Linked DNA regions of Rattus norvegicus. The protein of the gene in region 1 interacts with the protein of each later gene in a pairwise test. Links are inferred from orthologs where the notes say so. Each region holds a gene or a part of one and is shown on either strand. Other genes may lie near its edges.

The links.
Region 2: the proteins of Trim23 (region 1) and Brme1 interact in binary tests that used the Homo sapiens proteins (3 or more experiments, as listed by UniProt). The two-hybrid records come from large-scale screens. The link is inferred for Rattus norvegicus from reciprocal best matches to the Homo sapiens genes TRIM23 and BRME1.
Region 3: the proteins of Trim23 (region 1) and Gpkow interact in binary tests that used the Homo sapiens proteins (3 or more experiments, as listed by UniProt). The two-hybrid records come from large-scale screens. The link is inferred for Rattus norvegicus from reciprocal best matches to the Homo sapiens genes TRIM23 and GPKOW.

What each region holds. Positions count from the first base shown.
Region 1 is NC_086020.1:37,034,732-37,039,595, forward strand, and holds the start of Trim23 (E3 ubiquitin-protein ligase TRIM23), read left to right. Parts: upstream 1-1,473; 5' UTR 1,474-1,550; coding exon 1,551-1,631; intron 1,632-4,006; coding exon 4,007-4,087; intron 4,088-4,864. Other genes in the region: Trappc13 (trafficking protein particle complex subunit 13), read right to left, coding at 786-831.
Region 2 is NC_086037.1:40,894,143-40,897,484, forward strand, and holds the end of Brme1 (break repair meiotic recombinase recruitment factor 1), read right to left. Parts: intron 3,084-3,342; coding exon of another isoform or gene 3,021-3,083; exon of another isoform or gene 2,744-3,020; intron 2,703-2,743; coding exon 2,605-2,702; intron 2,177-2,604; exon of another isoform or gene 2,072-2,176; intron 1,412-2,071; coding exon 1,319-1,411; intron 1,086-1,318; coding exon 959-1,085; 3' UTR 679-958; downstream 1-678. UniProt on the Homo sapiens protein: Meiotic recombination factor component of recombination bridges involved in meiotic double-strand break repair.
Region 3 is NC_086039.1:17,465,484-17,468,869, forward strand, and holds part of Gpkow (G-patch domain and KOW motifs-containing protein), read right to left. Parts: intron 2,787-3,386; coding exon 2,648-2,786; intron 2,455-2,647; coding exon 2,331-2,454; intron 2,240-2,330; coding exon 2,170-2,239; intron 827-2,169; coding exon 741-826; intron 652-740; coding exon 517-651; 3' UTR 1-516. UniProt on the Homo sapiens protein: RNA-binding protein involved in pre-mRNA splicing. As a component of the minor spliceosome, involved in the splicing of U12-type introns in pre-mRNAs.

The sequences.
Region 1 (4,864 bases):
TGGATGTGTATGTAGCCCACAGAGAATGGGGGAGGAATATGCGGTATATCCAAAGGGATGCCTTAAAGAGGGCCAGTGCAATCCAATCTAGTTCAAATGTCTTGTAAGCATTTCTTCCTATCAGTGTAAGGCACTGTTAACTTTATACCTGCACATCCCAAAGGCAAGAAAGTGCATTGTGGCAGTAGCAAACTAAAATAGGTTGAAATTGTTTTTTAATAAAAGGTTATCGATAAGCAGATTCAAGAAAAATCTGACCTCCTAGCTCCCCCCCCCCGGTCAAATTAAATCATTAAAACTTATTCCAAACTGATGCGTATAGAAAATTAAAGTTGATAAGACATTCTGGACAAGGTTCCCACAAACGTGATACTACAGTGTGAATTAATTTGCAGTATATTTCAACAAATCTAAGAAGTATTAGGTGTAGTTCCATTTATTTCAAATCCTTGGCATTACCGTGCTACACCATCTACAGGTAAGCTAAAACCTGGTAACTTTATCCCTGCGACCTAGACGGATAAAGGAGTGATTTTTGGAGAAAAAAAAAATTAAATGCCAGCTGAAATTTATGCCGGTTCACAGATATCTCTGCGGCAGGCTCGAGACGTGAGCTGCTGTGGACAAAATGTGGTAGCAAAGGCCTCAGTGCTTAGGTTTGCATTTCATTCCAGGAGCAGCGGGAAGGCGAGTGCCCGGTTTCAGGGACAAGGCCTTCGTTGGGAATCCATCAAAGAAGTGAGGCAAATAACAGAGTAAAGAGACTCAGGTTAGCAACAGTTTACCTTTTAGCGCCAGCAGGTGCTCCTGTTTGGGGGGATTCACTTCCATTTTGACCGGCACTTCTGACCTCAGCCTATACAGGCTGAAGTTTCACTGGGTCTGGAAGGAAAAGTGCCAGGCACAAGTCCCGGAAGATCGGCCTTCAAACGCACGCTCGACTTCTTTCTGCTCCTGAGAACTTAAATTCTCTTTTCATTAAGTCCTTTACGGCTCCAGTGAAATCTTTTTACCAAGGCCATTCCTTCGTTCAGAAATACACATATTTTCCACACAGGCTGACTTCAACGATCCACTTCGGGCTGACAATACGCGGCTTCCCAAAAGCTTACATTGCCCAGGGGGGGTGGGGGAGGGAGCTACTGTCGTGGCATGCTGGGATTTGTAGTACATTTTATACAAATTTAGCAGTGTACGCAGGGCGGTGGGGGAATGTGGTTCATTTACTCATTCTGACTCGTTTCAGTACTAGAGAAAAAATGTTCCAGGAATGGCATTTTCACCATAAAATTTTATTTATGTTCCATACTTTTAATAAAACACATTTTCTCCTCTCCATTACTCACATACGCCTTTATGGAAAAACAGCTCGCACGCGCAGACCGTACAGCCAATGACTGACGGAGAGAAAAGGTCAGAAGAGGCGGGACGACTCCCCGTCTATCCTGCGCATGCGTGAGGGCGGCACGCGCCGAGGCTTCTGGGTAGGTCGCTCAACCCCTCCTCTCAGTTAAAGGCTCTACTGCAGCTGTGCCGCTGCTCCTTCCAGGATGGCTGCCCTCGCTGTAAACAAGCCCGGAGCAGGAGTAGACAGTGGGCGGCAGGGCAGCCGGGGGACGGCTGTGGTGAAGGTGAGGGAACTTGCGTGCTCTGTTCTCCACCTGCGGCCTCCCTTCGGTTCGTCCTGGAGACCTGGCCGCGACTGTGCGGCCCAGGTTTGGCCGGGCTGGATGCGCGGCCTCTGGTGGGCGTTACAAGACTTTCCTGCCCCTCCGCGGTCCTTGCCCAGCGGAGCTGAAGTTGCCTGGTCTTCTAATTCAAGTGTTAACGTCGTCCGTGGGGCTGTTTGTGAAAAGCACCGCGTGGGCCTGTGAAAGTTGACCCGGACTGGGTCTTGCCCCTAGTCTTCTGTTTCTAGTGATGCCTCAAGAGGCATTAATTGACGTAGTTGTATTAAACACTCATTGCAATAGACAAGTACTATGGTAGATGTTTGAGTTCGCTAATAACTACTTAAAAGGTAGATGTTAATTCGCATTTTACGTGGGAGGAACCCTAGGTTTAAGTTAATACAGTGTGTGCTAAGGGCCCAGAGTTTACTGGTTGTCAACGTCTGCCTTCCAACATTGCACAGCTGTCCCTTGCTTCTGAATAGTAGAGTATGAAAACTTATGAAGTCCCCGACTACAGCACAATTGGGCTTTAACATTAGATGTATGGAGTACTGTCTCCTTAGAAGATTCTACCGAATATTTACAAGCTACATTTACTAAAAGTTAACTAGAAGTATGTGATGATCATTTCCCCCACCCACTGTAACGTAGATCTAAAAGGGGCATGTGGTTTAGGGAGTAACTTGGAAGATTATCTGTAGCCAAGAGATTAAACAACTCTTTCTGAGTGTGTTGATGTCAGGACATTTATTAAATCCCCTGAAGAAATTTTAAAGTACACTTGGATTTATTACAGTGAACCAAGTTTGATTGGACATTCTTTAATAGTAGATATCTGTCTGTCTGTCTGTCTGTCTCTCTCTCTCTCTAGCAAAGGTCTGTTTTTGAGAAATTTATGCCTAAAATTTATCAGTCGTTTTTTATTGGTGTGTTTGTTTTGAATCAGTTAACTTTTTATACTAATGAAATGTAGAGGAGCCCCCATTAAGCATATTTTGTGTTAGAGTTAATATTTTGCTTTTGCCAAATGGGAATACCTGCAGAATATTTTGTCATTCTTTCCCATAATTGGAATAGCATGTTATAATTCTCCTTAATACTTTTTCACTTTATCATATATTCTGCATGTATACATAAAAGATGTAATGGCTGTAGTTTTGGCATATGAATGTACCATAATGTATCTTTCAATTTAGTATTTATATGGATCGTTGCTTGTTTTTAATTATTTAATGATACAGATAGTACTTTAAGGAGTTACATTGATTTTGTCATATGTAGACTGGGGATGTGATTCAGTAGTAGACCATTTACCTGATATAGTCAGGGTCCTGAGATTTCCCAGCAGCAGAAACAGCAACAGCAACAAGGACGAAAACATTTTGATTTTGTCGTGCATGTATGATGTAGTTCCTTAAGAACTGCTAAATTGTGTCCATGGGTGCTATATTACTCAGTAAATTTTTTGTGTCAGGCAGTGGAATTTTTTTCCTGTACTGTAATTAGTGCCAAGCATTAACAGCTTTTTGAAAAACTATCTTCATGTCGTTATTCTCTGTAGAATGAGTTAGATTGAACTCTTAATACAAAGTTTTTTTATACATTTAGCAGATATTTAATTTGTCTCTTTTTCCTTCGAATTATACCACACTTAAGTTTCTTTTGAACTATTACCAGTACGTGAGGTAATTACAAATTACCAGTTTAATTACTGTGAAAGATGTTTGTATCTCAATTTCTAAGTCTAAATGTATTAGAAGATCAAGTTTAAAATTGCAATGGGTCTAATGAGATTTCCACTCTTTAAGTTTTCTATTTTTTTTTTTTATTTTGTGTTGCATGTTTGGTGGCCTGAATTGTGTTTCAGTGTTATTTTGTTGGGTTTTATTTGCATCAGCATGTAGGTGCTTTTGTATCTGGAGTGTACTGTTCTGCACTCTCGTTCTAATAGGGAAAGACAGGTTAGTCTATTAAAGTATTGAAGTATTTGGGTCAGACAAGCAGATAGATATTCAGGGTGCATGGAAAACCAGAGGATAATGTAATAATTGAAATTGGAGTGAGAGATTGGGAGACTAAGAGAGATGGGATTTTTAGGTATATGAATATAAAAACTTTAAAAAAGGAAACCAGTAGGTAAATGTTTAGATGTTTCCTCAGTGTTAATTAGAATAAAGAAGGGATCGAGAAACCACCAACCACAGAAGCAAGTGGTCCTGTGCTGGGATACACATGTAGTAGAGGGGACTGAGAGGTGTGGCAGTGAAGCAAGAGAATGGTAGTCAGTTGTAAAAGCACTGGAAATGCTATATTGTTATAATTACGTTTTGCAGACTATACATGAAATATTAGCCCATGGACCTGAGTGTCAGAGTGAGCCAGTTCTCGCAGCTTTTCTTCCTCACTATCTTTCAGTAAGTCATATACCTGTGATTACTTGTGTAAGAACAGGAATTGAAATTTAATTCTCAGCTAATTTTGTTTTTGCCTTTACATCATTTTGTGAAATCTAGAAGATACTTGAAATTCCTTGGAAACTGTCTTACAAGTTTTTTTATTGTTTAGAAAAGTGATTATCATCCCAATCCACATTTTAGATTGTTTTATTGAAATCAGTGGTAGTTTGGCTGGACACAGTGGCATCTCCTATAGTAACTTCTGGGAGGCAGAGGCAGGAACATTACTATAAGTTTGAGGCCAGCTTGGACTGAGGTCCATTCAGGGGTAGTCAGTGAAACGTCATTTTACAAGGGAATAAAACAGGGCCTAGAGAGATAATAAGCTATTGACAGCACTGAATGCTCTTTTGAAGAACTCGGGTTTGATTCCTAGTACTCCATGGTAACTAAGAACCATCTGTAACTCTAGTTCCAGGAAGTCTGATGCCCTTTCTTGACCTCTGTGGGCACTGCATTAGCATGATGCACCCACCACACATGCAGGCAAGACACCCATGCACAAAATAAAAATAAATCTCTAAACACTTTTTAAAAAGGAAATGAGTGCAAAATGAAATGATTGTTGATTGGGGGTTTCAGTAGAATTATAGATTGTTACATATTTAGTTTTCAGATTATATTATGTTAATTATGTTAATTTGCAATATAAGTATTTCAAGGAGGTTTTACTTTGTCAAGGTCTGTCAAATGGAAATGAGTAAAAATGTGATTTAACATTTTATAGCTTAGTTT
Region 2 (3,342 bases), on another chromosome or scaffold:
TGGCCTGAGGCTTTACCCTCAGCCTGCATTCTTGCTCCTGGCCTGGGAGCCAGGGAGGAGGGAGGCAGCAGGAGGAGGGCTCCTTAGTAGCCCAGAGCCTGTGAGTGGCACAGGGAAAGCAGCTCCTTGCAAAAGCCAGACCACCAACCTGAGTCTTAAGCCCAGGAGCAGGGCATGGGCTAGGTGGGGTTAGGGACAGCTGTTCCTCCAGCCAAGACCTAGCCTGTCTCCTAGCCTCCTCCACTGGGTTCCCCTAGGTGGAGGAGGCTGAGATACGAAGGCCTAAGCCAACCGAGGTGTGTATTTCTACAAATAGGATCCCCTCCACCCCCTGCACAGCTAAGCATTGCCGTGTCCAGAGGCATGTGGGAGGTGAGGCGGGTGATCAGAGCTTACTCCTAGGCAGTAGACAGGGACCTCACTCTGCATAGGGACCTTGGCTGTAACAGCTAAGGAGGCTTTGTGCCCTGTAACCTATGTGTAGATGTGTTACCCCCACACACCGTCATTCTCTAGAGCTATGAGGAGCTCCTGCCCTGTGTTGTGGCAGCCCTGCTCTAGCAGGAGTGGTTCTGGCTAGCCCTACATGTAGCCTTTGCAGGCAACTGCAGGCCAGTTGAGTTTAGAGAGGTGTATGGGCAGGACATAAGGACCAGGACGTCTCCACACAGCTACGGATCAGGCTCACAACTGCATCATTTATTCCCTGCCTTCCCAAAACTCACAGAAAGCATGGGGGAAGGACAGACAGAACAGAGGGCACGCTCCCCTCCAGAAACAAAGACAACTGCAGCTCAGCTCAGGAGCCTGGGTGCTCAAACCTGGATGAGCATCTGGGGCAGGGCCATGCTCTGTCAGATGACTTCCTAAAGCTCAGGCACCCTGTCCCATGGGAGTAGCCACCCTCAGCCTCCTGCCTATAAGCTATGGTAGGCTGACCCCCACAGGCTACAGCAGTTTACAAGTCCCTCCAGCCCTGATCCCCTCTAGCAAGGCTCCCTAACCCCTTAGTCAGGTAAGGCAGAGACTTGGTTTTCCTGCGCTTGAAGGCTTCCAGGTCCCGGTGAGTGCTCATAATCAGTCGACTGTTGAAGAAACAGAAACAGGGTGGAACTAGCTGTGCCCTGCCACTGCACAGGACCCTGTCTCAGCCACACCTGCCAGGTGGCTCCTCACAGGTGTGTTGTAAATGGCAGGTGCAGTGAGGCAAGACAGAAACAGCCTGGGCCGGGGCCACACTACCCCCTCACCCACACCTGGAATGCCACCTCAGTTCCTACTCGATGTTGTAACCTCTGGTAACTTGAGTTGCCCTTACTTGAGACTGGAGAGCTCTACCACAAGGCCTCGCACCGTGTCTGTTGCGTCCTGCATCCTGTAGGGCTCCTGGGCCCAGGTTCCCACATGGGGTCTGTCAGGAAATGGGAAGGAAAGGGGTGGCCTAAGAGCTCAGGATGATCCAGCGTTCCTTGTGTTGAACACTCCCCACCCCATCCCGCCCTGAATATCCTAGCTCCAACCCCTGCCACCATGGACTGCCACACCAGGGCTGGTGCCATAACCCTCCTTGACCCTCCCAAATAATGGGCACCACCTGTCCTCACCTGGCCCCTGGCCCTTCCCATTGTCTCTGCTCATACTGAATTCCTGACCATTCTTCAGTGCCTCTGAGGACTCTGGATTATTCTTTCCCAGTTTGTCTTGATAGTCAAATTTAACTCTGTGGACTGTCCCGTTCTCAACACTTGGTCATTTGACACTAATTTGCTCCCTAGGATCACTCAAGACAGTAAAGGAGGCATGCCACTGCATTTCCTCAAGGATGTGCAGCCTGGCTGTGCAGACTGGATAGGACCGTCAGCTCTGGTTCACAGCTGGCTTTATACTCGGGAGCCCCAGTTCTGCTACACAGGCCCCAGACACCTGATGGCGCTGCCCATCTGGCCCTCAGGTTTCCTCAAGTGACACTCAGCCTCAGGCCACCAACTGACTCCAGGGCCCAATTTGGGGGCTCCTGTTTACCAACAGGAAGCTGAAATGTTCCTGAATAACAGTGGGTAACAGAGCTAACCTGCTTCTGGTACACTGAAGGAAGAAACTGAGCCACAGGGAGGGGCTGTGCTGACAACGGGCAGTAACAACGGGCAGAAGGGATGAACATTACAGAGGGCAGAGGCTGGAGCAGGGAAAGGGAAAAAAGAGGTCACACTGGCACCCCAGCCTCCTCCATGATTGCCTGACACAAACAGAAACTTGGCAGTAAATTGTAAGTCTGCAGAAACACTGTCAGGTTCGGGGGGGGGGGGGGAGGGCTCCAAGGGCCAGAGTTGATGGCAGCCTCAAGACTGTTTCTGACCACAGTTCCTCCTGCTTGGACACCAGTTCATGTGACTCAGGAACACCCAGGCTCCTCCTCTTAGGATACCCATGTCCAAAGAGGCTAGAACAGTTCAAGGTGCTAGAGGGACTCAGCTCCCACGGACAGGCCCTTCCTTCTTTGGGTGTGAACCAAGGGCACCTGAGTTCCCTTGAGGGACATATGGTGCATGGTAGTTTGAAAGACAGGGCAAGCTCCCATTCCGGATTGAAGACTGGAAAGCCTACCTGGGCTGAGGTTTGGCCACCGCCTTTGGGGATCCTCCGATGGCATATGAGCTAGGGACAGGCCAGCCAGGGTCTGACATATTCCCTGAAGGAAAGCCCTGGAAGGAGTAGGTTCAGTATATGAATCACCCAGCCTGGCAGAGGGAAACATCCACAGCACCCAAGACTTCTCCTTAGCTGAACTTCTCCAAAAGCAGCATGATGCCAGCAAAGGGCTCCAAGCACAGCTGCTCTGCTGTCCTCTTCCTTGTCCTTGCAACAGGCCGATGTGCATTGTGGGATACACTAATGTGTTTTATCCTGATCACTATGGAAGTGTCTCAAAGTATTTTAAAGCTCCTGGAGCAAAGCTAGGTGCAATGGTGTATGCCTCTAATTCCAGCACTTGTGAGGCAGAGGTAGGCAGATCTGTGAGTTCAAGGACAGTCTGATTTACACACGAGTTCTAGGACAGCCAAGACTATATAATGTACTGAGACCTTGAAAAAACAAAACAAAACAAAACAAAACAAAACAAGAAATAAGACCAGGCAAGGCAGTGCTCATCTGTAATTCTAGCAACTTGAGGGTCTGGAACAAGACTGATGCTTGTGAATTTGGGGCCAGCCTCCTGTTTCAGGATACCCTGTGTGAGTCTCATCACTAAGTCTGAGATCCTGCCTCCTTTAAGACCCTAGAGCCAGGACACACAGAACACTGGTGCCTGGGAGACTAGGAGAACACTGGGGGTTTGAGATC
Region 3 (3,386 bases), on another chromosome or scaffold:
TCTCTCTCTCTCTCTCTCTCTCATAAAGCAACAACAACAACAACAACAACAACAACAACAGCAACATACAATAAATCTTATAAAAAAAAGATATGGGCCTTTGAAGGCCATTCAAGACCCAAACTCAGGAAGTTGTTCTGAGATGTGGCATTGCAGATTCGATAGTGTTTGGGGATAGACTTCATAGTTCTTAAGTTCCAAGGGTGAGCTATGTATTGAGTGGGTAATCTAACTTGCCCTGCACCTTCAGCAGGGAAATGAGGTTAAGAAACGAAGTATTTCTACTTCTGTTATCTCAGTTCCCACCCAAATTTACAGTTCACATACTGGTTTTGATTTCAACCTTTCACCATTGAAAATGGTTTTTATTATGCTCTAAATTTTGGTAAATAGCCTGTTCTATCTAGTCACATCCCCATCTTTGCATCTCAAACAATTATTTCCCATCTTCCTCTGGCATGTTATAAATTGTAACAAAAGTAGTGACAGCCTGAGTGACGGGCAATGGTCCATGTGTCAGTCTTCATCTGAGTCACCGGGGCCCATGTACTGGCAGATGGCATCATAGTGGAGCTCCACCACCTGATTCTCTCTCCCAAGCTGGACCATAGCGTGACTCTGTGCTCTGTCCCGACGCAGAAGAAGTCCCACCTGAGGACAGATGGGGCAGAGTGAGCGAGGTCAGCCCAGATCCTCACTGATGTGATCTCCAGACTCTCATTTTCAGACATAGGACTTACCTTTCCAGCATGTGGTCCCAGTACCACCATCACGCGGTGGCCCTCTCCCCTGGGAACCAGGGTCTCCAGCATGCCTTCTTTCACACCTACAGATGAGAAAAGAGGGGAATGAAGTCCACAGCAAGGGCCAGGCTGGCCAGATCCTGTCAGAGAGGCCTTTGCTAATATTTATTAAAGCTACTCTTATAGACTGTTGATAGATGGAGTCCCACTCTACCCATTTCACAGGTGAGAAAACCAAGGAGTAGTTCATAGAAATAACCACCATACACGAACATTTTCCTACAGAAACTATGTCCTGGGTTTCAGTACACTTCTTCCCGTAAAGGCAATAGTTTTGACAGGGACAAACTTGTAAAAATATGACTAGGCAGCTGTCCTTGGGTCAGTGGAATTAGCATCAAAATACAGATAAGTCCAGGGCAAAGCACAGCACAAACTGGAAAATACATAGGGTTTAGGTTATCCCTCTCTAGGAAGTATCTGCTCTGGAAGAGGATGCTGGGCCTAGCAAAAACCTCAACCCTGCCCAGGTTCGTAGCTCTTGGCCCGAGATTCTTCTTTTCTTTTTTGTACTACCCCCACTCTTTCTCCATTTCTTTTCTTTTTAAAGACTTATTTTACGTATGTGGTTATACTTCGCTATCTTCAGACACACCAGGAGAGGGCATCAGATCCCATTACAGATGGTTGTGAGCCACCATGTGGGTGCTGGGAATTGAACTCAGGACCTCTGTGCTCTTAACCACTGAGCAATCTCTCCAACCTCCATTTCTTTTCTTTTTCAAATAAGATCTTGGGGGCTAGAGAGATGGCTCAGCGGTTAAGAGCACTGACTGCCCTTCCAGAGGTCCTGAGTTCAATTCCCAGCAACCACATGGTGACTCACAACCATCTGTAATGGGATCTGATGCCCTCTTCTGGTGTGTCTGAAGATAGCTACAGCATACTTATACAGAATAAATAATCTTTAAAAAAATAAAATAGGGGGTTGGGGATTTAGCTCAGCGGTAGAGTGCTTGCTAGGCCCTGGGTTCGGTCCCCAGCTCCGAAAAAAAAGAAAAGAAAAAAAATAAAATAGGATTTTACATTGCAGCCCAGGTTGGCCCTGCCTCCCAGGAACTAGAATGCACCCTTTCCTTAAGCTTTTTTAGATTCATTTCTTTTATGTGCATGAGTGTTTTGCTTGATGTTATTATGTCTGTAACACCGTGTGTGTGCCTGCTGTTCACAGATGTCAGAACAGAGCCTCTGAAACTGGAGTTTCAGACAGTTATGAGCTGCCATGTGGATACTTGGAATTAAACCTGAGTCCTCTGGAAGAGTAGCCAGTGCTCTAAACCACTGAGCCACCTCTCCAGCTCCTCAAATAGGCCATTTCTTTATCATTCTCTAAGAGAGGAACATCCCAGGTACTGCTCAGACTTACCTTCTAGAACTCGGCCTTCATCCGTCCGACACACACAAGTACCTGGGCTCAGGACATCTTCAATTGTCATCTAGAGAGATGAAGAGATAGAAGTAAGATGTTAGAAAGTTAAAGGGTCCAGTCCTGGGTGAGGAAGGGGTCTCCAGTTGTGGAAATCATACCTTGGTGTTATAATAGCGGCCACCCTTGTGCACTTTGTCAATGAACCGCACACGTAGGTCCCTGTGTAACCAGTGCTTGTTTCTAGGCGCCGCTTTCTCAGTCTTGGGCACAGGTCCATCCCGTCTGTGGAGAAAGCCAGAATGTAGCTTACCTTTTTGTCACACCCATGTTGCAGCCAGCCTATCTTCAAAAGCCATGCCGTAAAACCCACCCCTACTGCTGTTCCCAGTTGCTTCTATGCCCTGCTTTGCCTTGGAAGTTTTCCCTGACTGCTTGAGCCACCCATACCATGCAAGCCCAGTGGACCAGCTCCTACCGGTCAGGAGAGTGTTTCCGCTTCTTCTCTGAATCCTTCTGCCTCCTCTTTGAGTCTTCCTGATTCTGTAGGGCCTTCACTGATGAGGCTGTTCCAGTTGCTCTGTGCTGCTGCTCTGTGGAAGTTTTGCTCACATGGCCTGTTCAAGGGGTATAGGGACAGCAAGAAGAAAGCCTCGCTGTATTCCTTCCAAGGGTCATTGTCCTCCTGGCAAAGGACCTGTTCTCTATCCACCTCCTTCAAGAAGTCCCTCTCAACTACCTGGCCCATAACAAAGACAACAGAGTCAACTGCCTGGTGTTCACAAGAGTGGACGAAGAGCCGCAGGCACCTCCAAGCTGCCCCTCCCACAACCATCACTGTTCTGTTCACCACTCCTTGCTCACACCTTAACTCTAGTTTCATATTTAGCAAAAGAGGGGACCGCCACTCTAAATACATGAGGACCCAGTTTCTTGATGTAGAAACTGAATTCCATATCCATTTCTTACTGCTCAGAGAGGATGAAGATATACAGTATTAGATCAAGTTCTTCTCAGTTAAACTAAACAAACTAGGCTGAGGGTATGGCTCCTTCGTAGAGCCTGATTAGCACTGTCAAGATTTTGGGTTCTAATCCCAGCACCACCAAACAAAAAGTAAATAAACTACTCTTGTCCCTTCTTATCCCTGACCTCTGACTGGAAGTCAGACAGTGCCCCTTCTCCCTACAGGTCTTGAGAGCCTGCCTGTCACCATG